Arabidopsis thaliana: one gene and its partners. The protein of the gene in region 3 interacts with the protein of the main gene of each other region in a pairwise test. Each region holds a gene or a part of one and is shown on either strand. Other genes may lie near its edges. The genes, in order: AT3G05350, NHX3, PGLCT and EDS5.

Region 1 (7,771 bases), on a different chromosome or scaffold from region 3:
TTCATGCACATTGAGTGCAGCACCTACGCCGTGTCCTGTCCCTGTTTGGCAGGCAAAATATCAGAGTAATATGAGTTCCTTACAAAAAAGTTGTTCTGGGAAGAAGAGTCAAAAGATAGAATAGAGTACCATGGCGGTAATCAAGTCCAATTTTCCATAGAGAAGAGCGTGCAAACCCATCCAATACAAAACCAGGAGTACCTTCTGGGAACACGGCTTGATCAAGAGCTATATGACCCTACAACCAAAATACCAATCAGACAAGGCAACCCATACAGGTTCGTCTGTTCAATATAGGTAGTCAATGGTCATCAAAAATGATGAGGAAAAGAAGAGCCAAATATTCCACCTGCAAGACTCGAGTGAAACATTCCTTTTCACGGGCAGAAGGTTCACTAAAATGTACTGTTCTGGTGATGTCTGTTGTTCCATCAACATATTGAGCGCCACTATCCAGCAAAAAAAGTTTTTGAGGGTCTACACGACTGCAGCTCTCAGGCTCGGGCTTATAATGTATAATAGCACCATTTGCACCGGAACCTGCATGGGTAATTAGAGGAAAGGAATACATATCACTCACTGGCTGTATATTGACTATGTGTTAAGAAGCAAGTTCCACCAACAAGGGTGACAATAACCATACCACTTATTGTATCAAAGCTTGTATCCATAAAACCATCTTGCATTGAACGGAATTCAAGAAGCCTGTCAGCCACATCGACCTCTGTTAGATTCGCATTCTTATGCACTTCTTCTTCCAGCCAAGCCCAGAAATGAGCTAGGGCAGCAGCATCTCTGCATAAAATAAGTGGTCAGCCAAAGACATTTCCCATACATAGGAAAAAAAGAAACCAAAATTTTCCAGAAATGAGCTAGAGCAGCAGCATTTCTCCATATATATTTGGTCAGCCTAAGATACTTAGCATTTGAAAGTACAAAAGAAACCAAAATCTTCCAGAGAAAAGTTGAATCCTATAAAGGCAGTTGGATTAGGAAAATATCGTAAAAGCAATGGCTTTCTTTACCTCAAGTGAGAATTCTTCATTCCCTTTAGCTCAGCATCATTTTTAATGGCCTTTGCCCACGAAATAGGAGATTGCATGTAAATACCAGAAGGATTGGCAGTATATCCGCTGGAGCTATCAGTAAACTTTGTCTTAACTTTGGCTTCGCTTTCAAAATTCCTCGAATATCTTTCACAGGCAGATTTGTAGGTACTAATGATAGCTACGTTGAGGGTTGATGGATCCATCAAGAGCTGAGCTCCTCGTGCTGCCAAACTGAGAAAACTCAAAGTGAGGGAAATTCCTTTTTCTGAAGTTCATAAATGGACATGGACAATCAAGTACTTACCTATCTATTCCTTGAAGAATGGAATCGTAAGGTCTAAGTTCGATCCCTGCGTTTTTCAAATGATCTTTCACCTCCACCGTTACTTTAGAATTATCTACAAAAAGTTGGGCTTGGTCAACCTCTACAATCAGATATGCGTACATTACAGGTGAATGTGGAACATCGCTCCCTCTCTGCAGTCAGAAGAGGCAGAATACAACATCAATACATTGGGACCTATGTGAAGGATAAGCTGATATCAGTGGCACAAAACTAACAGATTCAAATGTAAGATGCTATGCTAGAGTATTACCAGATTAAGCACCCATGCAATCTCATCAAGCATGGATATTACAATGGCAGATGTGCCAGCATCCATAATTTGGTTCCTCAAAGACAACAATTTCGAGGCCACATCTAAACCAGCATACTTCAAGTCATGTATCCTTATTTGTCTGCTTGGAGGCTTTGGCCTTGAGTCCTTCCATATCTCATCCACAAGATTTACATTGTACAAGTAAACCAACTCATGATTCTTCTTTGCTATAACCTCCTTCAATTCCTCAGCAGCATCGGCGGAAAAAAGGAACTGCTCCCTTCATGAATTCCAAAGTCTTGTAAATAACAAACCACAAACTACAATATTTAAGGACAAAAGGAGACACAATTTAGAAGGTTTAATAATAGCTTACAGGGTCAATACCAACTCTTCCACCAGGCGCCAAAACATCAGCTATCCATTCACTCGCCGTGGGGACTCCCGGATTACCAGCCCGCATGAGAATCCAACTAGAGTTTAATTGCTTCTCCGCCTTTGATAGAATAATTGCAGAGAATGTAGATAAGAAACTCCACATTTCCTTTCAATATGAGATGGCAATCAAATAATTTTAAAGGACGATAATGATCAAAACCTGAAGAAAATAGCGGCCATCTGTCCATAGAGCTGCCTTATCCTTGGTGACAACAGCGGTACCAGCACTTCCAGTAAATCCTGATATATAAGCCCTCCTGGCATAGCACTCTGCGATGAACTCGCTCTAGTACAAAATATGGAGAAAAATCACACTCAAGCCATGAAAAACTCAGGCAGTTTATGGATACATTTAGAAGTAAAACATAAATTTGTGACTTTCCTAATGGCACAGAAATATATTACAGGCAACATCAGTTATGAAAGTAGATCTTAAGCTCCTAGTATGTAAAATTCACCGAAACAACACATTACCCATATCAAAATGGCAAAAACAATTGCATAGATGCATAACAACCCCCGCACTGGTCCAAATCATATTTATTTTTTATCTTGAATCTCCAAATCGAATTTGGTATACTCAGGGACAGCAAGATTGACGTGTGAGCGGAGCAAGAAACTTTGGGGAGAATGAAATAAAACACGAGTTGGAGAATTTCATACTGTGATTTAGAAGAAGAAGAACTTCCATTTGGCTCTACAATTGAAACATCCTCTTATGACAAGTTGAGATTTGACTAGGAAGAAAAATCTGAATGCATTTTCAACCCAACATATAGAAGATCAGATACCACCAAAGCCGTTTCTTACAATACCATAAAGTAGAAAATTACAAAGACAAAGAGTTTATGCATAACACAACTGACAGATATCATAACAAACATATACGTTTCACAATCACTCAGAGAAATTGTGAGAGGTGATGGTGTTCAACGAGCACTTGTGGTGACTACTCTGCGCTTGTTTCGATGGAATTTTTCCATGAACCACTCGTGTTTGTGTGCAGTAAAGAAGATATGTCCAATAACTAATCCACAAAACACACCAGGTCCGTAGGCTATTGCCGCTGCTATCCAGTTAATCACTTGTTCTTCTGGTTCCGAAAATTCCTCGGATTCTAGTGGTGTAGAACTCGGGGCATGAGCTTTTCCACAGATTTTCTCAAGACCGTAGAGTCTGAGGTTGTCCATGAATGTAGAACAATGTTGGCTTTGAAACTGAGTGCCTAGTGGAACTGGACCTTCGAGAAGGTTATGGGAGAAATTCATGGTCGACAGAAAAGAGAGGCTACCAAGATCTCGAGGGATGTGACCTGATAGCTGATTCCGGGATAGGTCCAATGTCTCAAGATTTGTCAAATTTGCCAATGACTGAGGGATATTGCTTGTGAATGAGTTACCTGACAAATTGAGAAGACGCAATTCCTTCAACAAACCAACGGATTCAGGTATATTCCCAAAAAATCTGTTTCCAGAAAAGTCAATGGCTCTGAAGAAATATGGGATCCGCAAGAAGTCCGTTTCTACTCCTTTATATATCATAGTCATCGAATTACTATGGCTGAACTCGGGCCCTTTCTCGCCCATGTACCAATCCTCTGTACCTATATTAGAGCCGTTTTCTTCTAAGACAGATGTCACCATCTCACGCCAATTGGAGAAATATAAAGGTGACAAAGTTCCACTGAAGCCATTCTGTGATATATCAATGAGTCTCAAATGTTGAAACCCAAAAGATATGTGGTCATAATATAACGACCCATAGAATGCATTAGATCTGAGGATGAGGACACGTAATGATGGCAAAGAAACCAACCAGGATGGAAAAGTGTCCTTGATTATGTTGCTTCCCACATTCAGAAGTTCCATACCAGTGCAATTGATCAGGGATTTTGGAAGTTTTCCCTCCAACCGGTTGTAGCTAACGTCAAGTGATAATAACATGCTAGCATTGACAAATACGTCTGGGAGAAATCCGCTGAAGCTGTTGTTACGCAGAACTAGCCCTTTAAGCCAATAAGTGGAATTTTTCAAACAAGGAGGAATTGAGCCGTTGAAGAGATTGTTGGACAAGTCTAAGTACTTTAAGAACCTTTGCTTGCAGATCCAATGGGGAAAAGGTCCTCCAAGTGAATTCGAACCAAGATCCAACTCCTGCATTGATTCTCCATCCAAAGCTCCGGATGATGACTTTCCAAAACTGTTGAAAGAATTGTGGGAAAGTGTCACTGTCATCAATCCCCATAAGCAACCTGGCACTTCGCCTTCCAAGGTATTGTTTGAAAGACTAAGATGCTGAAGGTTGACCAACTTTGATATAGAAGTGGGGATTGGCCCAACTAAGTTGTTGTGGCTAAGATCTAGTACTATGAGACTGTGAATTTCAGATATATATTCAGGGATTGGCCCATCGAATTTGTTATCAGCAAGGTTTAGATCCCAAAGCCTAGAAGATGAAGATATATTCCCAAACTTTATAGGTCCCATGAACTGGTTTCCTTCCAAATAAACAATTTGTAACGAAGGAATCGTGAATAAGGATGTAGGAAAAGTCCCGACAAATGAATTCTCACGCACATCAAAATATTTCAAGTTGTGGAGTCCACTCATATCAGATGGAAGCGTGGATTTAAAGTGATTAGAGGCAACGTTTAAGGAGGACAAGCTGGTTAAATTTGGTAGTATGAAAGAGAAATTTTCCAATGTGAACTGATTGCTAGAGATGTCTAAACTAGAAAGCTTCGTTAAATTGGTAAATGAAGTAGGAATGTTACCACTAAAACTGTTTTCGGAAAGTAAAAGGTCTCTAAGTTGGTTTAGCTTACTGACCGAAGCCAGAACTTCACCTGTCAGCTGATTACTCGAAAGGTCAAGATGCGTGAGACGAGAAAGGTTTCCTAGTGAAGAAGTAACCTCTCCATAGAGATGGCAATCACTGAGAGTCAGGTTCTGGAGTTGTTGGAGTTTGAAAAGACCACTAGTTGGTTTCAAAGAGTTGTTGAGAAGGACATAACTAAGGTCAAGTGAAACCACCTCGCCAGATTCATCATCGCACGTGACACCCTCCCAAAAACAGCAATCACTAGTCTTGTTCCATGAACTCAACGATGGACTTGGCTTCGATTCACTTACCGGAAACTCGTGTTTGAACTCGAGAAGAGCATCCCTTTGGTCATGGCGGCAATAGTGAAGCCTAGAAGAAGCAAGAGTGCGTAGAACAAGGGAACCCAGGAGGAAGAAATACAAGGTAATAACACTACCAGAAAAGGAATTAGATTGGCTTGGAATCATTTTGTTTGTTTTGTAAGTAACAGGTTATGATAGCTATGGCTTCTACGTCTCTATTTAGAGAGAGAGAAAAATAGAAAACAAAACACAAATTTGCAGCTCTCTAGTAGACTTCTACCTACTCCTTTCTATAGTCAAACTTGCCCACTTGGACCAATAATTGACTTAAAAACACACACAATTGAACAGTTTTGAATCTACTAGAACTTCCTATTCAATTCGTAATCACGAGTTAAGAAGAGGTTTAAAAAAAGAGAACCTGATGTGCATCTTGTGAAGGTATGATATAAGCGTCGATTCCAACACCCGGCTCCGAAAACAGTCGCCGGATCGAGCTAAGCTTCTCGTCGACAACTACTTTGGTTTGAGCTTTACGAATCTCTTTGGAAGACTTTGCCGTGAAGGAGGAAGAGCTGCTGCTGCTGCTACTAGCATGACACCTTGCGCCAAAAAGAGGTTTATACGGTAATTTCCGGTGGATCAGAGAGAGCGAATTGAAATTGCTGAGAAATAGAGAGTGTGAGTAACGTGATGTGGATAAAACGAGCCGATTCAGAGACGGCGACGAAAGAGTTAGAGGAATCATCACCAGCGATTGCAGGAGAATCACACAAGAGGAGAAGCTTCTTGAGCAGAGTGATTACGGATAAATGTGTATAACTACTGAAAATTGCAAAACAACCCCCGTATTCTTTTAAATGTTGTATAATGTGCATGACTATTGATAATTACATTAAAATCCCAGACTTGTCAAAAAGAAACATTTTATTTTGAAACAATCTCATCAAATTCGTTATGGTAAAGGACAGCCAAGAGAGACGTGTGCAAGAAGCAAGAGTCTTTGGGTGCGTAAGAAATGTAAACGTGTTCGAGACTTTCATGCTGAGAATTTCGATTGGAATTTTGGTTTGACTTAGAAAGTTTTATGAGAAAGACTTAATACCGCCTGAATTAAGGGTTTCCACGAAAGAGACAAACGATAAATTGCAACCACACCAGAAAAGAGAAAAATAGATACTAATATTCTTTATATTGATAACCATGGGGTTTAGAATTCAAAACATATTTTGAGATATGAGTAGAAGAAGTTTCTGAATGCATTATCGAGCCAAGATTTATTACAAAACCTTGCAACAATGTGGTTTGGGACAAGAAGCTGACCATGATTTTAACCTGATAGTAAAACGGGCCTTGTCTCTTGACAGCTGAAAGTCTGAAACAAGATCATAATATTTCTCAAGCGCTGAACTAACACAAGTAAGGGAATGGAAGTGAATACTTGTTCTGAAGCAACTGGCATGAAAATGTACCTCTCAAGTATCTGGTTTTTTCTAATCTCCTTCCGTGAAAAGAAAGATTCTTAGGGTACCAAGGCAAAGGCTTGATTGCCTCCAATTCACCACTCTCTATGGCCTTAAGTATGCTTCTTATGTCTATCATCAATGAGACACTAGAAAAATGAAAGAGTCATGAATCAACCTCAGCCCGAAGAGATTTCATGAAATCATTCTCCAATTTCAATCAAATCCCATCACAAAATTGACCACTGAAGAATCAAAAACAGAGGCCACTTAGTCAAAAAAAACTCTGAAACTCCATAAACGAATCCCACTCTTCAGCTTTCACTATCCTTTGTTCCTTACACAACTTCACAACAAGACATTACAATGGTGTTTATTAGAAGTAAAGTTTCAAAATCCATGGAAGCCATTGATTCTATTGAGGTACCTTGTAATACTCCTCGAGTCCTCATCCTCGAAATGAAGATTTGAGCAGATGGGCTTTTGGAGGTTGGAATCAAAGGAAGCATCGGATTTGAGGGGGTTTTCGAACATTCTCTTGGCTATTTAGAGTTGATTTCTCTTCCAAGTTGTGTCGTCTCCATTTTTGTTGTTACAGTGGCCGAGCTTTTTGTTTTCACAGCGATGGGTTTGATGGGTTTACATTGGTTTTGAAATTCAAATTGATCTCGGTTCGGTTTAATTTGGTTTAGAGAAGAAAACCAAAAAAAATAAGACACGCGATGGATTTTTGAGAGTGAGTTGCGTGGATCAAAAAAGGCATGATTTCTGTGGACAAACCCCTTTAGAAATCGTAGACACGCGCTCAACGCGACATGGGTGAGACTGGTTGTGAAATCGCTCGATTGGTAAAAGTGGGGTATGAAGTGGAGCTCTCTCATTGGCTAAAAAAATAAAAATAGTAGACATATAGCTCCTATCCTCCTCCTCTTCTTTTGTCATTTTTATATTAGCCTCTGCTGAGAATGAAATTCAGATTTTATTCAATCTGAAAGTTGTGTGTGTTTTAGATACAATTGAAAAAAACTTGAATCTGGACTTATGTGATACTAAAAAACTTCCTCATCATTTTGTTCTGCAACCATTTTTACAAGTTG
Region 2 (5,883 bases), about 17 Mb from region 3:
TGTGAAATTTGCAGCTCTTGCAATAGTTTTAGCCGCCTTGGTGTTGATGGAAGAACCTACGAGCATTACCGCATGTAACATCAACGCAAACCATCTGGAAAAATGTCGTCCAGCCGTAATTGGAGACAACCCGCCATCTCCAATCAAAGAGTGTTGTGAACTCCTCCAAGCCGCTAATCTGAAATGCATCTGCAGATTCAAGTCTGTTCTCCCCGTTTTAGCGGTTTACCCATCTAAAGTCCAGGCTCTTCTGAGCAAATGTGGCCTGACAACAATCCCTCCTGCTTGCCAAGGTAAAATCAAAATACCATTAAGATACTAAAAACCGGTAGACTAGTAGGATCCCAATATGAAGTATGAAGTAAAAAAGGCTTACGTTTTGCTGTTCTGTAAGTGCAGCTTTGAGGAACTGAGATGGAGACAGACCGTTCTAGCAGACTTCACTCGAACTTGTCCTGCAACTGATCTGAAGTCTTACAATATGTCTTATGTTCCGATCCAAATAAATTACAAACTCGCAGTAATAATCGCAGCTTGTGTATATAGAAGAACCTTGTTGTATACATTTAACAAAAACTTTAAGAAACTGTTTTAGCTAAACCAACTATCCTACTTTCTTGACTATAAAAAAAACTAACTCATCATGATTTCCCCGCGGAGAACCCGGATCAATTCTGCAACACAAAAAGAGAGAATTGTTCGCTTATCATGATGAATATTGTAGGCACCTCTTCCCGGATGTACTTATTAATTCCGGTTACACATTATTGATCAAGTGAGGTGCGTTTGCTGCAAAATGTATAAATTTGTGTGGTAATAATGGAGGGTATACCTAGCATTCTGGTTGGTTTTCTCGACGAGGTCCACCGAAGATAGGCCTCATGTATGTGTCGTCAAACTTTCTCCAGTAGCGGTGGATGGTGTACACAGGTTGTTCCATCAGAAGGGAAATACTATCTTTAGCTCTATTGAAGTTGGTGGAAGCAGACTCGTCAAAGGAAAGAAGAGGAAGTGTCGCATCTTCTTTCGGAGAACCTGGCTCAGTGCGTTTACCTCTATTTCCGGTGTTGTGACTTGCATCTTGAGGAAGGAGATAATTCACAAGTGGTTTTGTGAGGAAACCAAAGACCTGTTTGTTACATGACAAAGAAGTCATTCTTTTGATCTTAACACAGAAAACTACCAGAACCAGTAGGGCCATATACTAAGGTAGTATTTGTTTTACCAGTGTAGTAAAGAGAACAACGATAGTGGTGTTGGTGACCATGGCAGCATTCACAGGATCCAATGTAACACCGGAGTATGTGAACTTGGCACATGAAAGATATACCAAAATGAGATATAATGGAAATGTTACTAATTCAATGTAAAAGTAATACAATAGAGATTAGAGATAATATGAATGTGCAAAGAGAAAAACCTGCTTGAAAGCCAGAGCAATTGAGACAGCACCTCGCATTAGACCTGCCCACCAAATGATCACCTATAAAGTATACAAAGAGAGAATTATATAACAGAAACTTTCCCATTCTCGGACCATTATTAATTTTTTATTTTAGTGCTTCTGATAATGTAACTGTAACAAACAAGAGCTAAACCTGATGCTTAAATGTGATAGACTCGTTTCTTTCAGTGTGCCTGTTCATGAAATTTGTTAAGACCGAGAGTGGAAAGACAAATGCTGCTCGTCCAAGCAATACTAATGCGGTTATGACACCGGAGACACCCAGAGTACCCCCAAAGCTGCAAGAAGATGATTAATGTTACAAGTCTTCATTGGGAAGAGATTTCAGAAACAACGAGTCACCACCACAGCTTAACTAACAGTTAATTGGCGATTAACTTCGTGTCAAGAGAGAAGAAGACATAGAGGATGTCTTTGGGATAATCTTGATTCTAGGTATGCATTTAAGAAATACACGAGGTTCATATCAAAATGCTGTGTATTGTTTTGACAAAACACTCTAAACGCTCTACCAGCTGATAAATGGATACGACTTTATACCTTAAGCTGCTTGTCTTCCACTTTGTAAAATCAAGAGCATCTGTTCCAACATACAGAAATATGAATGTCTCCGCAATAAAGGACAACATTGCAAATACATGCCTGCAAAATATAGATGCACAGTCAGACAAAAGCAATTCCTGCAAATTGAGACTTCAGCGAATAAACAATTGTCTGATACATTGCCTGGAAGTGATTCTTGAGCTCTCTGTCACGTTATATGATGCATAATGCGACATTAAAACACCACAGAAGAAAACAGTAAGAATTCCACTTAATGAGAAGAGCTGCAAGAGAACAACTATATTGAGTTAAAACAGAGAAATGCAGCACTTCAATTCCAAATGAAAACTAAAAAGTAGCGTTCATGACCAGTGTATTACCTCAGCCAACATATATGAAAGGTAAGCCATTAGAACCATGATGGCGAGTTCGCGTGTAGTAGAATGTCTGTCAGCAACCATATAACAAGATCAATATAAAGGCACATCTTATCACTAAAAAAAAAAAACTTAAGCTTGAGATGAAAAATTTGCAAGTTTGGTGTACTTTTACCTTCCAAAATACAAGGTTTTAAGAACAAAAGATGTTATTAGCCCCACCTGCAAGACATTCACAGTTCTAAGATTACTCATGATATGCTTCAAACAGAGTAAAAAACTATGCCAACTCAATAGCTTACACCAATTCCGAGAAGTGTGCTTGTTGAGAAGAGGTACAAAAAGTTCCCAAATACTTGCAGCGCCGTCCAACCGGTTAGGCTTTCAAATTGAATCTTTTGCACGGCGTTGAACAGTACAACTGAGGTTGCATCATTCACCACTCCTTCTCCAAAGACTAAGCTGTATAGCAATGGTGTTTCATCTTGATGGAGAATCTGTAAAAGTTTAAGATGCAATGTAAGAAAAAACTTTTAATAGAAGAAGTAGTAAGACAAAGAATCTTCTAAATCAAGAACCTGTAGAGTGCAAACAGTATCAGTTGATGAGAAAATCGTTCCTATGGCTGAATCAAAACAAGAAAGCATTCACTCTCGCAAACTGATAAGTAATAACCATCTCAACAAGAAATGAAAAGAAACATAGATCAGTGAAAAATCTTACCAAGATAGTCTCTAGCACTCAACCCCTTAAATCCCAACTTGGGAAACAGCCACCAAGTCCCTGGTTCACATTATAAAAACAACAAAAATAGAGATGGTAACAACTCCGAGATAATCAACTTTAAATCATATAGTCAAGTCATTCAAAGATTAATGAAATATTTTTTACCAAACGAGATAATGACAGTGGAGATGAAAACTCCAATCACACCAAAGGACATGATGGTTAAAAAGTTGTGAAAAAACTTCTTTTTCTTAACTTGGAACCTGCCACAACAAACCAAAAAATCTTCAGTCAATCACCATCATAGTGTAATCTAACCCATTAACCACAACATAGTAACCAAAACCATAGTAAGCTTACCCAGCATTGAAGATTATTGGAGGAAGAAGGTAAATGAAGAAGAGTTCTTCATCAAACACCAAAATATGTGAACTTTTTCCTTTACTAATAAGTAAGATCACTGTTCCTGATGCTGCTCCCTACTTGCAACAAAACCAATCAAAAATAGTGATAAAATTGTTCTTTAAGAGCAGAAAAGCTCAAAACTTTAGCTAAAACAAAAAAAAGAAGAAATTTTGAAGAAAATTACTACTAAAATGGCGGTAATAGATTCATTAACCCATCGATTCTCTTCAAGCAAGTGGCCGATAACTAAACATAGACAGAGAATGGCGATGAACACTGAGATTGGTATCACCTGAGGATGCTCAGCTGCTAGTTTATTCGTCACAAACTCTGTTAATCCGATACTCATTTTTCACTCGATAATGTTTTCGATTTCGTCGATTTTGAAAACACCAATCGCAAACGAAGAAGGCACACAGAGAACGATAGAGAGAGAGACGAGGAAAGAGTCAGAGAGTGAGGAGAGATTTGAACTGCGATGAACAAGGCGGTGGTTACAGGTGGCGAGGAGACGAAAGACACGTGGCATGTTTCCAACGTCATCAGACTGAGTAAACGTGAGGCTTTTTGGAATTGTACTGCATCTTGGGCCTTTTTAGGGCCCAAAACTAACTCATCATGTATTTTTTTCTTACCGGATTTGGGGATTTTTTTCTTTTTTCTTTTTTGGGTCTAACTAACTCGCGTAAATTGTTGTTCTTTTTCCTTAATTTATTTTTACCTCTTGTTCTTTATTCTGTTTATATAAAATTATGAAACTTGAAAACTCAATATTTATTACAACGAATTATTTGGTGAAGACTCGAACCAATCGAAATAAAACACTCTACTGAGTAACGGTCCCGGTTGCAACAGCCAAGACGCTAGAACGTGATCGTTTCGTTTGGTCGTGTTTTGATGACGTAAAAAGTGACTCAGCGACCTATTTCACCACGTGTAATCTTTAACGACCATGTTCTAGGACCTACCTGACTTTTAATCGATCATCCACCACCGCCTTCTCAACATTTTTTAAGATACTAGTATCATTATAGCTATAATATAAATTAAGAAACTTGTAAATATTATAATTAACGTGAAAACATAGAATTCGGATATATAATGTGTATATTAGATAAATAATAAATCTGCTCATATGTGATATGTATATGCATATATCATATATGTAAATGTAGCCATTATTGGAATGCGTATTGGGTAATGGGTAGTATCACTAGAATGATACAATTTTTCTTATATACAGAGAAGAGAAGAGGAAACAAGAAAAACAAATACGTTCCCCGCAGTAGACTTTTTATTTGTTGGTACCGTAGAGGAAAACAGATATACACCAATTACTATAGGAGTGATTAAGGGAGAAATTGCAGGGATATAATTGATATCTAATAGCCGTTTCTACACTAATCCTAATTATAACAAGACCAATGATTGACACATGTATATTGCAATTGCATGCATTATATAGTTTATTATTATGCTTGCTTATAGTTTAGCTGGTTTTGGAAACAAGTAGGTAGTAATAAAGAAAAACAAAGAGAGAGTAGGTCGTAATAAATGAAGAACGCATAACTATAAAAAATAAATACACAAATATATGTAAAACAATTGTTTGGTTTCTCTAGGTTGGAGACAACCAATCAAAAAATTATATTCTAATTTAAAATAAAACTTATTTAGTTATCCCATGAAAATTAAACTCTTGTATTCTCAAAAAAAAATTGAGTCAAAATTACACTCCCAATATTTTCTGTCTGCAATAAAGATATGGAGACACATTGAAAAACATTTTAGTTTATTTATGAAAAACCAAAAAAATAAAATTTTAGTTGATGTTTTCTTTTTAAAGTGGAAAAATGTGTCAAAAACAAAAAGTCGAAGTTCTTTTGTTTTCCCTTTTAAAATAATCAACGATCATATAAATTCGAATCCCACAAACCAAAAAGCTCTCTCTCTCTCTCTCTCTCTCTCTCTCTCTGAGTAAATCTCAGTTTTTGGTCGAAGTTGGTGAAGTCGCCGCCGGGACAACTCAGGTTGTTACAGATGATAAACATGCGAGATAATCCAACAATGCATGTCTTACAAGCTTCAAAGTTTCTATTTTTAGCTCTTATTTTGATCCAGTTGCTGTCTACTCAACTCTTTGCTCAAAGATCTAAAAGTCCATGGCAAACACTCACTGGTTAGTGTCTTCTATCTCCTTCTTCTCCTATTTATTCAATACCCTTCACTGTTAATCAATAAATCAGTAGAAAAGTTGCTTCCTTTTGAATCGTTTCATAGAAATCAAAGAGAAAAATTTGGGGGTTTTCTGAGTTTCATCCAAAGAAAAATCGAAGCTTTCTTATAGGTTTCATCGGATTTTGTTTC
Region 3 (5,581 bases):
ATTCGAATTTCTATCAACTGTTCAATCCAGTTTTTTTTTTTTTTCTTTCAACCGAATTACTATGTACATAGCAATTTGAATTTGAAGCCATTTTGGTTGTGTTGAGATTACAGGAGCTACACAAGAGACGTATGCAAATAAAAGCTAATGCAAAGATTCATAAGAAGAAACCTAAAGGTATATATATATTTAGCTCTCTTTTTTTGAGAATTCTCAGTTCATATTCACTAGACTAAAAGCTCTACACTGAAATGCAGCGAGCAAGAATTCTCAGAGTAAAGCGATCGAAGATGGCGAAAGCTCTAAAAAGTTGAAAGAACCAACTTCTTCTTCTTCTTCTACCTTAGAAGAACAGAATCATAACAAGACAGTAGTCACAGTACCGAAGAAGCCACAAAAACTGTTTTGGGGGTGAGCTTATTTCGCTAATTTTAGAATTCTTTTTCATATTGAGAAAACCGTGCTAATGCCATGCTTTTTTTGTTTTGAAACAGGCTAGATACCAGGGAGAGGTGGGAAAGGAAAGCCAACATGTAGTGGTCATGAAAAGATTTCTCGTTATTGATAACGTCGTCCATTGTACAATTTAAGAGTAGCAGATTAGAGAAAGACTCACAAACTAAATGATGAAACAAACTGGTTTTTGTTCTGCTGATTTCTTTTGTTTAATTTCAAGCTCCAGATGTAAGAGCAAGCTCTATTTCCTCCAGTGATCGACCTTTAGTCTCGACGACGTTTCCTGCAATGTAGAGGACCGCAAGGACGCAGACTCCAGCAAAACCCAAGTAGACACTGCTGATTCCGAATTTAGTCACAACGCTTAAGAAGTATAGTCCGATCACAAAGTTTGATATCTGTTAGGGCAAAAGAGAAACAAAACATTAGAAACAGAGAGAAGAAACTCTGTTCTGAACCCATAAAACCTATAGATATATGTATATACCCAGTGCATGCCGAGAGAAAGAGCGACGGCTTTTGCTCTGATTCGGGATGCAAATATCTCTGGAAGAAGAAGAGCCGGTACCGGGCCAGCACCAAGTGAGAATGACAGGACATATCTGATTTAAACAACCGAGCATAAGAGTCAGTCAAGTCCTATACAGAGAGACTATAAGGAAGTGTTAAGAGGAGATTGACTTACAGAACAGTTCCAACAACGGCAAGGGTTCCAGAATAGGCAGCAAGAGCCTTCCATGTGAAGGACAAGGAGAGTAACAGCATTGACAAAGCCTTTTCAATACAAAACCATAAAATCCAAGTTAGTCCTGTTGTGGTAATACTAATGAGGGTTGAGATTTTCGAATATGGCTAAGAATTTTAATAAAAACATGTACCATTCCACCAAAGCTTGTCAGTAAAAGACTTTTCCTTCCCATTTTATCCATCAACGATGAAGCAACAGCAGTGCCTGCGACCAGATTTTTATCGTGTTATTTTTTTGGTTATTTTTGGAATTTAATGAGAACATAACGGGGAAACGAACCAAAGACATTTGATGCTCCAACGAGAGCACTGGCTGCAACATCTGATTGGATTCCCGCACTACGGAATACCGATGTGGAGTAATACACAACTGCGTTTATCCCGGCTAACTGTTGAAACAAGAAGAGAGCCGCACCTACGCTTACAACTACAACAAGAACAGACAAGAAACTATGTAAATTGATCAATCCGATATGACCTTTGAAAGGAATCCGTCAGCTTTTATTACAAACTAAACAATGTATCTCCACCAAGTCTTGCTATACCTTTCCAGTAGCGGCTGCTGAATAGATCAAACCATCCTGCCTCCGGCTCAGAAGAACCTTGGCCAGAGGCTGATAAGTCGCGAACTAGTTCAACCACTCTTTCTTTACCATACAAAGTTTTGATCGCCTTTTCAGCTTCAGAGACTTTTCCTTGCTGCAAAATTGATTTCCTTGACTTGTCAAAAATTGATCTCATTTTAAGTGTTGAGATCTGTTCCTTGAGAGTACCTGAACGAGCCACCTTGGGCTTTCTGGAGAAAAAGCCATTCCTATGGCCAATAGAACGGAAGGGATAACTGCAACACCAAACATCGTCCTCCACCTAGAAGACCACGATATCAAAACTTATCACAGTATGCAACCCAAAATAAAAGATGATGAATAAAAAAGGGATGTTACATACCATAGAGGGTTTGCTGCAAGGGGTAATCCAGCTATCAAGGCTGCAAGTATTCCTATACAGATGAACAACTGGTTCACAGATCCGAGTGCTCCACGGATTTCAGTTGGTGATATCTGACAACCATCATCAAACGCTTCAGAGACATAACATATAAACAAATCTAACATCTTATGCTAAAAGTGCAAAAATAATGAAAATCAGTATTTAAACAACCTCAGATATGTAAAGTGGTACAATCGCTGATGAGATTCCAATTCCAATTCCAGCGAGCAGACGTCCCACAATCATAGTCTGCACACTCTGAGCTGTTGCACTAATCAATAAAAAAAGAACCAATGCGTTAAGAAATCAATTAACGTCTCACCAATAGGTATGGCTTAGTGCTTGAAAATTTACCATAAGAAAGCTCCAATGGCAAGCGGGATAGCATCCAATTGAAAAGTTCTTGTTCGTCCAAATTTGTCAGCTAATGCACCTCCAGTGAATGAACCTACCGTAGCACCAGCAAGCAGAGAACTAACAATCCATCCTGCTCAACACCAATCATAGAGAATACCAATTATGAGTTTGGCTACTAATCAAAACACGAATCATTTTACCGTTGACAGGAGGAGTAAAGAAGTGGATCATCATATACTTGCCTTGCAAAACAGTATTTTCGGCGATCCCAAGATCCTTAGCAAGATATTCAAGAGCACCATTAACCACCCTGATTCAGTCCAATAGAACATCATCATCCATGATCACACCAAGATAAAAACAGTGTAGTATTTAGTCATACCCGAGATGATAACCAAAGAGTATAGCACCAAGACAAGCAACACCAACAAAAGGCAAAACTGTTCCAGAGCTTTTCCCTTCAGATCTCAGAGGTATAGCTTCTTCTTCATCTCCATCTACATTTCATTCCTCAAACCATCAGATGATTAGTCCAAATCCCAAACTATACATTAGATTCTTCAAATTGTATTTAAGAACTTGTAAGCAATCACAGAATCTAATGATAGACAAAGATAGAAGAGCATTAGAAGAGACGAACCAGATGAGGCTTGAGCTCTGACCGATCGAGCTTTGACAGAAGAGAAACTCATAACGCTCTGGATCCCGTTATCAGCACGAGCAAGCGTCGCTCCCATGGCTTCAGAACCAGAACAGTAGAGTGGCCCGGTGGTGGCTAAGCTCTTATAACCAGCGAAGCGAATTCCGGTAGAAGTCGTCGATCTGTCAGAAGAGAAGGTCCGTCTCTGAAACGCAAACGCAGCGTTTCCTTTAACCGCATACGTTGACGACTGCATTTTGTCTGACTTTTTATAACCGTAATTGCAAGGAAACGAGAAATATTAGGCAAGGAAGGAAAAAAAAGGATCGCATTTATACCAAACAGAACTCAAAAAGAGAGAAGTAAGGAACGATGAAGACGCAACATCACGAAATTGGGAAATATGTTGCATTGATGCGAACGAGAGAGTAAAAACGCTCTTCTCGATCGCGGCTGATTAACAAAAATCGTGATATCCAAAGCAAAACTTCAGATTTGAAAATTACCAGAGAAACTTCGGAGACTCCGCGATTTGAGAGAGAGGATAGTGAGGGCTTAAACCAGATAGATTGTGATTGCTGAGAAGAACTCACTGTGGAGCTTATTGTCGTTTAAAAAAAAAAATTAAAACGCACCAAAAAATAAATAATGCAATTTTGTTTCCTTATTAGTTTTGGATTTTTGTGTAATAATTCATATTTATCCAAAACCATACGGAAAATAGAGTATTTTCATTTCTTATTTTAAAGAAATCATGAAATTTAATGCATGTGATGCAACTTTCAATTTTGGATTGGTAATTTTGTAATATTTGCTAGGAAATTTGAATAAATCAACCAGTATCAACTAAATCGAACTAAGTGGCGGGACTAATTAGGAAATTTTTTTGAGTTTATAAATTGAGAAAATTATTTACAATTATTATTCGACATAAATTAGTCGATAAAAGGGTAAGAAAAAAAGAAGTAAAAGAGTTACGTAAGAGCCGCAGGATTGGCGATTTGGCAACGTTGGATTTTCTGGATTAGATTTTGGATGACGTATATAGCCGCACGTGTTATTCAATAGTACTCACGTGCCGCCATTGAGCATAGTAACGGTGACGTATAAAAATCATAGTAACTTGGGCCACTATTATTTAACCCATCATTTTTGTGGGCTAATATTAGTAAGCCCATTAATACAAAACGGGACCAATTTCTAACATCTTCGTCTCAGTATTTCATCGTTCTACTTCTATCTCGTTCCAACGTCTTCGCAAAAGAAAATTCCGAAATTGTTTCGAAAAATCCTGAAGAAGAAGAGGTAAGCTATTTTCCTTCTCACTTATCCTTCTTCTACTGAAAATTTATAACATAATATAAACCACAAATACATTTTTGTGTAATCCTTGTAGCTCATTGCTAATCTCTGATTCTCCAGAAATTTTGCTGAGTCCTCTGTTCGATTACACTTCAATTATTTTTTATCTGCGCTGTATCTCTGTTAATGGGTTTCATTAAGTTTTGATTCTCAGTTGTTATATGATTTCGAATTTCATTATATCCTGAAAAGCTTTTATCTTTATGTATATTCCAAGTATTGAATCTCAAAGTTTCTAGTCATTTCAATTTCAATAGGTCTTTGAATCAACAACAGTTCCATGTTGTGCCCAACGTATACACCAAGTGTTTACCATTTTCAAACGCAAAAGCCAGTTTTCCGGAAACAGAGGTTTCGGGTTTGTTCATCTACTTCTGGTGGTGAGGATGATAGATTCAAAGTAGAGTACACTCCTTGGCTTATCGTTGGGTTGGGCAATCCAGGAAACAAGTATCATGGAACAAGACACAATGTAATGATACACAATCTTTTTCTTTTACTTAATTGCTGGATTTGATCTTGGCAATGCTACAACTTTGTGTTGTTTTCAGGTTGGTTTCGAGATGATCGATGTGTTGGCTAGAAAAGAAGGGGTGTTGATGAACACTATACAGTCCAAAGCTCTAATCGGAATAGGTTCTACTTCTCTTGCTTTGGTTCTTTGGTTTGAAGAATAATAAAACTGATGACTTTTTGGTTCTATGTATGAATCAGTACAGGTGCTATTGAAGATGTACCTATCTTGTTGGCTAAACCTCAGACTTATATGAACTTCAGCGGCGAATCGGTTTGTATTTTCTGTTCATAACTTTGCAAAGATCAGCTGCGTGATCAAATAATCATCATACCTGAAACTGTTCTGTTGTCGTTTTAAAGGTTGGATCTCTAGCTTCACACTATCGAGTACCATTGCGCCACATTTTAATGGTAAAGTCACTGACTTAAGCATCCCTTGAATCCAGAACTATGTTCCATATGAACACTTTTGTTTCTCTCTACTAGATTTACGATGAGATGGCTTTACCAAAT
Region 4 (5,928 bases), on a different chromosome or scaffold from region 3:
CGAAGCAACTCAAACTCCACAAGTAGAGAACATCACATCTTCGCCTCCTCTTTCATATTAAGAAGCCAATGATGGAGTCAATGCTTCTCAAATGCATAATGGAACATCAGACGCCATGGGATATTTCTTAGGAGAGGTTGGTGTACTTTAAAATGTCATCATTTTATGGTCGCAAGAACTTGATTAATCTCTTGAGTTGCCTATCTTTTTCCGCACAGGTCATGTTTCCATATCAAGCTGATTCAGATTTTGAGCTCAGCTTATCAGTTGGAGACTATGTTGTTATCAGAGAGGTTAGCATTCAAATCAAAGCATATAAGATACCATTCTTTCGCGGCTCAGGACATCGAATAACGGAAAGAATCTTAAAACTCTTTTTTTTTTTAATCTCTGTGGACTCATTCACATGTCTTTATGATGTTCCAGGTAGTGAGTAGCGTGTGGGCAGAAGGAGAATGTAAAGGCAACGCGGGTTGGTTTACTTACATCTACATCGAAAGAAGGGATCGTGTCTTCGCAACTAAGGTCATCGAGGTCTTCTAGTGGCTTCTTTTGGTGTGTTTCGGTGACTTTTGTTGCCATTGTTGTTCTGTATCTAACTTTTTTTTTTTTTTTTTGGTCAAAAATTCTGTATCTAGCTAGATTTCTTTTTCTTCCTCTCTTTACTTATACACAAGATCTGATCATTGAAGCAAAATAAATCTCATCTCCGATGATCTAACAATAATTTCCATAATTCAAATGCTTTCAGAAAGGATTTCTCAATACAGGTTAAAAATATCAATCTAATCTTTGCAAACTCATTAAACTAATTTAGTTACTTTCCTTAACTTTAAGAAAACAAATCTCAAATTTTGTGGCTATACCACCATTTTCATTGAAACTAACTACTCAATTAACGGTCTGAAAGAGGACAAAAAGATTTTCACAAGTGTACACCAATAAAAGAAAATCGTTTTTTTCCCTTATAAAATGACAAAAATTACCAAGAAATTAAATGGAACATAACTTACGACGAAATTTACCTGACGATTTTTTTTCCTTACTGAAAATTACCAAGAAATCGCGTGGAAGTCGGAAATGTTACATACTTTTCTTTGTAACTACACTGCGAAAGCAAAAAAAAAAAACATAAAGTCAACCTTTTGGGAAAATTGTCGTCTTTGACATCAGAAGAGATTCAAACTAAAATGAATGAGTACGTTACTTGCGTTATGGTTGGGTTTTCCTTTTTAATTTTAGAAACTTTTCTTACTTATATTTTGAATCAACAGTTGATAACACAAGTATAAATTATTATTTTCGCCATCACACTGGAGTCAAGCTCGAGAGAGACTTGTTTCCTAATTTAATTCATAAACTTGTTTCGACAGTGAATATATACATCTTCGAAGAAATAACACCATTGACTTAAAACCAAAATAAATAACAATAGTCTTATAATTTATATTATTCACACTTAAAATTAACAATACAAGTCTTTTCAAAGTCTTTTAATTATATAAACAATAGAAGTCTTTTTCATTGTCTCTTTTTGACTAATTAATAAAGACCATGAAAAGACTTGTATTGTAAGTTTTGAGTGTAAATTGTAATAAATTACTATGGTTTTGTTTGTTTTATATTTCTGCCATCTAAATAATTACATTATATGATAAAATAATTACCCTAGCGACAAATGACAGCTAGAAATGTAATAAGAACACCAACTAAATAATTATGCAGGTTAATAATGGAGCAAGTGATGTTCTTTCTATATACTGTACATTTTCTTTTTAAAAAATTATGTAATTTCGCAGAAGAGAAAAGAAAAACACGTGGTGATTAGAGAGTAGTATAAAGATAGTTGGTTGGGTTCTGTTTTTTTCTGTATCTCGAGGCGCCAAAAACAACAACAAAAAAAACTTCAGAGCGGTGATCAGATTCACCGATTTTTCTCAAAATGCTAATCAAATCCCAAAGATTGACTCTTTTCTCTCCTCTCTTGTCCAAAACAAGACGGATCCCGGTTAACTCCCACCAAACACTGGTCGCAGAATCGGTGATAACTCGGAGAACACTCGGTGCGATCACCGCAACTCCGAGTTTTCATAAAAATCCGGTGGTGATTCGACGGAGGATCAAATTAGAGAGAGTTACGAGGAACTGCGTCAGAATTGATCGGGAAATCGACGAAGAAGAAGAAGAAGAGGAGAAGGAGAGAGGGGATCTGGTGAAACAGAGCATATGGGAACAGATGAAAGAGATAGTGAAGTTCACAGGTCCGGCGATGGGGATGTGGATTTGTGGACCGTTGATGAGTCTCATCGACACGGTCGTCATCGGCCAAGGAAGCTCCATCGAACTCGCTGCTCTTGGTACGCTTTTCAATCATACTTGTCTTTCCGGTTTAGTAGCCAATTTTGAACCGGTGGACTGGTCCCCTACCCAATAGCTAAGCTGTAAGATTCATACACTGTTTTTGGTTCCTTTGTTTAGTCTCTTTCGAATATATTACACAGATTTGGAACCAATAATAGTTTTAAAAACAGGTAAACAAATTAGGCAAGTGTCCAGCTATATCATCTTATTATTTTAATCATTTTCCAAGCCAATCATTAGATTTGTGTCGGTTTACCAACTTCGAAAATTTAGTAGTTGTGTAACGTTTTTCACGATTCTTCTAGACAGAAAAAAATATAATCGGTAACATAATTAAAAGAACAAAATACATATGTTAAAGTTAAATATGTTGGTCTGAAGAAAAGGCAAATGGTTTTAGTCTCGTTGGTCAAAGTTAAAGACCGTTTTCAAGCATTTGATTATACAAATTTGACTAGTCAACGCAAGGCTAACTAACATAATTCAATGGTTAAAAAAGAAAAAATTGTTTGATTTTTGGTGAGAATACGGTAAATAATTGTTAGTATATTTTATATGATGGCTGAGAAAATTACCGGTTTAATAGGACCGGGAACAGTACTATGCGACCACATGAGTTATGTCTTCATGTTCCTCTCCGTGGCTACATCCAATATGGTTGCTACTTCTCTTGCCAAACAGGTTATTTACTTTTTACTCTTTCAACTTTGTTTTCTTCTTCTTCTGATGTCGAAACATCTCAAATGTTATTTATATTTCTTGCAGGACAAGAAAGAAGCGCAACATCAAATCTCTGTTTTACTCTTTATTGGATTGGTTTGTGGACTAATGATGCTTCTGCTCACAAGATTATTCGGTCCTTGGGCTGTTACTGGTAAACATTTTTTAGTACAAAAGTATGTTTCCGTTTTAAGAAATATTTGAGTGAAATGTGTATTTACACTCTTGTCATGGTTTTTTTGCAGCTTTTACAAGGGGGAAGAACATTGAGATTGTCCCTGCAGCTAATAAGTATATTCAGGTTCTTGTTCGTTTGATCATTCTCTGTTTCAAATTCTTCTGATGAATGGTGTCTCTCTTTAACTGGAATCTCTCTGTCTCGCAGATTCGAGGCTTAGCGTGGCCGTTTATCCTTGTTGGATTGGTTGCTCAAAGTGCAAGGTTTCTTACACTTCCCTTCTTATTAATCAGCTTTAACGTTCGATGTTCTGTGTCGATTTTCCGCCTCTTTATTACTTAATTTGATGTGAGAATCTGTCTCAGTCTTGGAATGAAGAACTCATGGGGACCTCTTAAAGCATTAGCTGCAGCAACGATCATTAACGGTCTTGGCGATACAATCCTATGCTTGTTTCTTGGACAAGGTATCGCTGGAGCTGCTTGGGCAACAACTGCTTCACAGGTAATATTAATTATAGTATCATGAAGCCCAACACTTGAAATGTAAATGCAGAAGATTTCATTACGGATTTATGTGTTTGTGTGTTATGTTATAGATTGTTTCGGCTTATATGATGATGGATTCTCTGAACAAAGAAGGCTACAATGCTTACTCTTTTGCGATCCCTTCACCGCAAGAACTATGGAAGATCTCTGCACTCGCTGCACCTGTTTTTATCTCCATTTTCTCCAAGATTGCTTTCTACTCTTTCATAATTTACTGTGCTACTTCCATGGGAACTCACGTTTTAGCCGCTCATCAGGTACATTACAAAACAGAGATCTTTATGCCCAGTCATGTTGGTGTTGTATATTTATAATTGTGGTTTTATTACAGGTGATGGCTCAGACGTATAGGATGTGCAATGTATGGGGTGAGCCACTCTCTCAAACGGCTCAGTCATTTATGCCAGAGATGTTATATGGTGCGAACCGTAATCTTCCCAAGGCTAGAACGTTGCTTAAGTCCCTGATGATTATTGGAGCCACGCTTGGATTAGTCTTGGGAGTTATCGGAACAGCGGTTCCAGGCCTGTTTCCTGGTGTCTACACACATGATAAAGTCATCATATCCGAGGTCTGTTTTTGTTTTTCAAATCAACATTTGTTTCCTGTGTTTTTGATTCTAACTTGGTCTAATCTGATTCTTGATATGTTTGCCAGATGCATAGACTGCTTATACCTTTCTTCATGGCGTTGTCTGCATTGCCCATGACAGTATCCCTCGAGGGTACATTGCTGGTAAATTACAAACTCTTGTTCGATTAGGTGGTTTCTTGAGAAGCAAGCAGCTGAATAAGTCTCTATATTTTTCAATCTTGAAACAAGATAGTATGCTTAAACCAAAGGTTGTTTCTTGTTCACCAGGCGGGACGTGATCTCAAATTCGTCAGCTCAGTGATGAGTTCAAGCTTCATAATTGGTTGTCTCACACTAATGGTACTTTATAGAGTCTCTCATAAACCTTAACTACGTTTATTAATCTTCAAAGACACTTTCAATTTGAGCAAATCTAAAATACTTTTTTGTTGTTGATAATGACAGTTCGTGACAAGAAGTGGCTATGGTTTACTCGGCTGCTGGTTCGTTCTCGTCGGATTTCAATGGGTAAAGACAGACATACACAGCAACATTTTGTTATCAGAGATTTTCTCTTTATCCAAATCTGTCTTTAACCAAATTATGGTTAACATTGCAGGGCCGGTTTGGTCTATATCTACGACGGCTTCTTTCGCCTGGAGGCATACTTAATTCAGATGGGCCGAGTCCATACACGGTGGAGAAGATTAAATCCATTTAAGTCTCAGTTTGATGATCTCATTGATTATCTAAGAGTTTGCCAACAAATGGCTAATTATGATATATCAGGCACCAATGTCAAGAAACGGCTAATTATTGTCAACTTTTTTCTTTGGTCAGAGGCTCAATGTAAATTTAAAGCATAATAGACAAATAATATATACAAGTGTGGTTAGTTCAATCAGTTAGAAAAGATCAAATTCACTGATAGATCGACTCTTCACAAAGCTTCCCAGCAAAGGAGAATTTGGCATAAAAGATCAATGTGATTGTATTTCTAATTGTATTATTATTGGAGAAATGAAAATGCATCACTACTCTTGAGATGAAAACAAACAAACGGGTAAAAATTTAAGCCGTTGGAACTCTACTTCCGCCTCTGCGTCCACGTCCATCAGGTCTCTCTGAATACTCTCTTCTCTACAATAACCAAAAGATTGAATGATCTTCAAACTCAAAAGAATAGAGAGTAAATACGCCATGTTTTCAGGGTTACTTACAAAGGGTTTAGTGGGTCTAGTGTTTGCGTATTTCTGCCTTCTAGTAATTGACATTCTCTCAACTTCCTTCTTCTTCGCCTCTGCTTTCATTTTGGTGGGACTGGGCCTATACAATATCACAGTCCGCCCTATTTGCCCTACTGCTACGGAACCAGTCGCTTCCTCCAAATGCTGCACCGCATCCTCTAGCTCATCGGGCGATGTCTTGCGTATTTTCACCTGTTCCTCATATAAGAATCAACAAGAGACTCGCTCAAGTAAGCCTTGAATGTTTTCCACAGTTTCAATCCATTCTCATAGATCAATCAAACAACAACATTCCTTTCAC

What was found.
Region 1: the proteins of PGLCT (region 3) and AT3G05350 interact in a protein complementation assay, tested with the Arabidopsis thaliana proteins (one large-scale study listed by BioGRID).
Region 2: the proteins of PGLCT (region 3) and NHX3 interact in a protein complementation assay, tested with the Arabidopsis thaliana proteins (one large-scale study listed by BioGRID).
Region 4: the proteins of PGLCT (region 3) and EDS5 interact in a protein complementation assay, tested with the Arabidopsis thaliana proteins (one large-scale study listed by BioGRID).

The regions. Positions count from the first base shown.
Region 1 is NC_003074.8:1,527,885-1,535,655, forward strand, and holds the start of AT3G05350 (Metallopeptidase M24 family protein), read right to left. Parts: upstream 6,026-7,771; 5' UTR 5,960-6,025; coding exon 5,633-5,959; intron 5,478-5,632; exon of another isoform or gene 5,377-5,477; coding exon of another isoform or gene 3,016-5,376; exon of another isoform or gene 2,784-3,015; intron 2,373-2,783; coding exon 2,247-2,372; intron 2,145-2,246; coding exon 2,025-2,144; intron 1,922-2,024; coding exon 1,646-1,921; intron 1,527-1,645; coding exon 1,354-1,526; intron 1,281-1,353; coding exon 1,026-1,280; intron 796-1,025; coding exon 644-795; intron 541-643; coding exon 350-540; intron 239-349; coding exon 130-238; intron 42-129; coding exon 1-41. Other genes in the region: RLP30 (receptor like protein 30), read right to left, coding at 3,016-5,376; AT3G05365 (uncharacterized protein), read right to left, coding at 6,492-6,586, 6,684-6,823, 7,102-7,208. UniProt on the Arabidopsis thaliana protein: Catalyzes the removal of a penultimate prolyl residue from the N-termini of peptides, such as Arg-Pro-Pro.
Region 2 is NC_003076.8:22,468,721-22,474,603, forward strand, and holds NHX3 (Na+/H+ (sodium hydrogen) exchanger 3), read right to left. Parts: upstream 3,987-5,883; 5' UTR 3,866-3,986; coding exon 3,701-3,865; intron 3,591-3,700; coding exon 3,472-3,590; intron 3,375-3,471; coding exon 3,277-3,374; intron 3,169-3,276; coding exon 3,109-3,168; intron 3,011-3,108; coding exon 2,964-3,010; intron 2,883-2,963; coding exon 2,688-2,882; intron 2,608-2,687; coding exon 2,561-2,607; intron 2,456-2,560; coding exon 2,389-2,455; intron 2,293-2,388; coding exon 2,192-2,292; intron 2,108-2,191; coding exon 2,006-2,107; intron 1,744-2,005; coding exon 1,599-1,743; intron 1,484-1,598; coding exon 1,421-1,483; intron 1,310-1,420; coding exon 1,226-1,309; intron 1,130-1,225; coding exon 833-1,129; intron 675-832; 3' UTR 525-674; downstream 1-524. Other genes in the region: AT5G55460 (Bifunctional inhibitor/lipid-transfer protein/seed storage 2S albumin superfamily protein), read left to right, coding at 1-293, 400-413; SVL1 (SHV3-like 1), read left to right, coding at 5,557-5,695. UniProt on the Arabidopsis thaliana protein: May act in low affinity electroneutral exchange of protons for cations such as Na(+) or K(+) across membranes. May also exchange Li(+) and Cs(+) with a lower affinity.
Region 3 is NC_003076.8:5,270,769-5,276,349, reverse strand, and holds PGLCT (plastidic GLC translocator), read right to left. Parts: upstream 3,875-5,581; 5' UTR 3,697-3,874; exon of another isoform or gene 3,456-3,696; 5' UTR 3,447-3,455; coding exon 3,191-3,446; intron 3,048-3,190; coding exon 2,933-3,047; intron 2,861-2,932; coding exon 2,793-2,860; intron 2,681-2,792; coding exon 2,548-2,680; intron 2,465-2,547; coding exon 2,365-2,464; intron 2,265-2,364; coding exon 2,152-2,264; intron 2,071-2,151; coding exon 1,977-2,070; intron 1,903-1,976; coding exon 1,749-1,902; intron 1,631-1,748; coding exon 1,484-1,630; intron 1,409-1,483; coding exon 1,335-1,408; intron 1,231-1,334; coding exon 1,142-1,230; intron 1,059-1,141; coding exon 944-1,058; intron 855-943; coding exon 672-854; 3' UTR 538-671; downstream 1-537. Other genes in the region: AT5G16160 (uncharacterized protein), read left to right, coding at 114-177, 258-411, 495-537; AT5G16140 (Peptidyl-tRNA hydrolase family protein), read left to right, coding at 4,833-5,024, 5,104-5,188, 5,272-5,339, 5,429-5,479, 5,555-5,581. UniProt on the Arabidopsis thaliana protein: May be involved in the efflux of glucose towards the cytosol.
Region 4 is NC_003075.7:18,183,798-18,189,725, forward strand, and holds EDS5 (MATE efflux family protein), read left to right. Parts: upstream 1-1,639; 5' UTR 1,640-1,942; coding exon 1,943-2,357; intron 2,358-2,947; coding exon 2,948-3,042; intron 3,043-3,126; coding exon 3,127-3,235; intron 3,236-3,326; coding exon 3,327-3,382; intron 3,383-3,466; coding exon 3,467-3,522; intron 3,523-3,624; coding exon 3,625-3,763; intron 3,764-3,857; coding exon 3,858-4,064; intron 4,065-4,138; coding exon 4,139-4,378; intron 4,379-4,464; coding exon 4,465-4,542; intron 4,543-4,668; coding exon 4,669-4,740; intron 4,741-4,845; coding exon 4,846-4,908; intron 4,909-4,999; coding exon 5,000-5,101; 3' UTR 5,102-5,427; downstream 5,428-5,928. Other genes in the region: AT4G39020 (SH3 domain-containing protein), read left to right, coding at 63-136, 219-293, 427-543; AT4G39040 (RNA-binding CRS1 / YhbY (CRM) domain protein), read right to left, coding at 5,452-5,520, 5,601-5,819.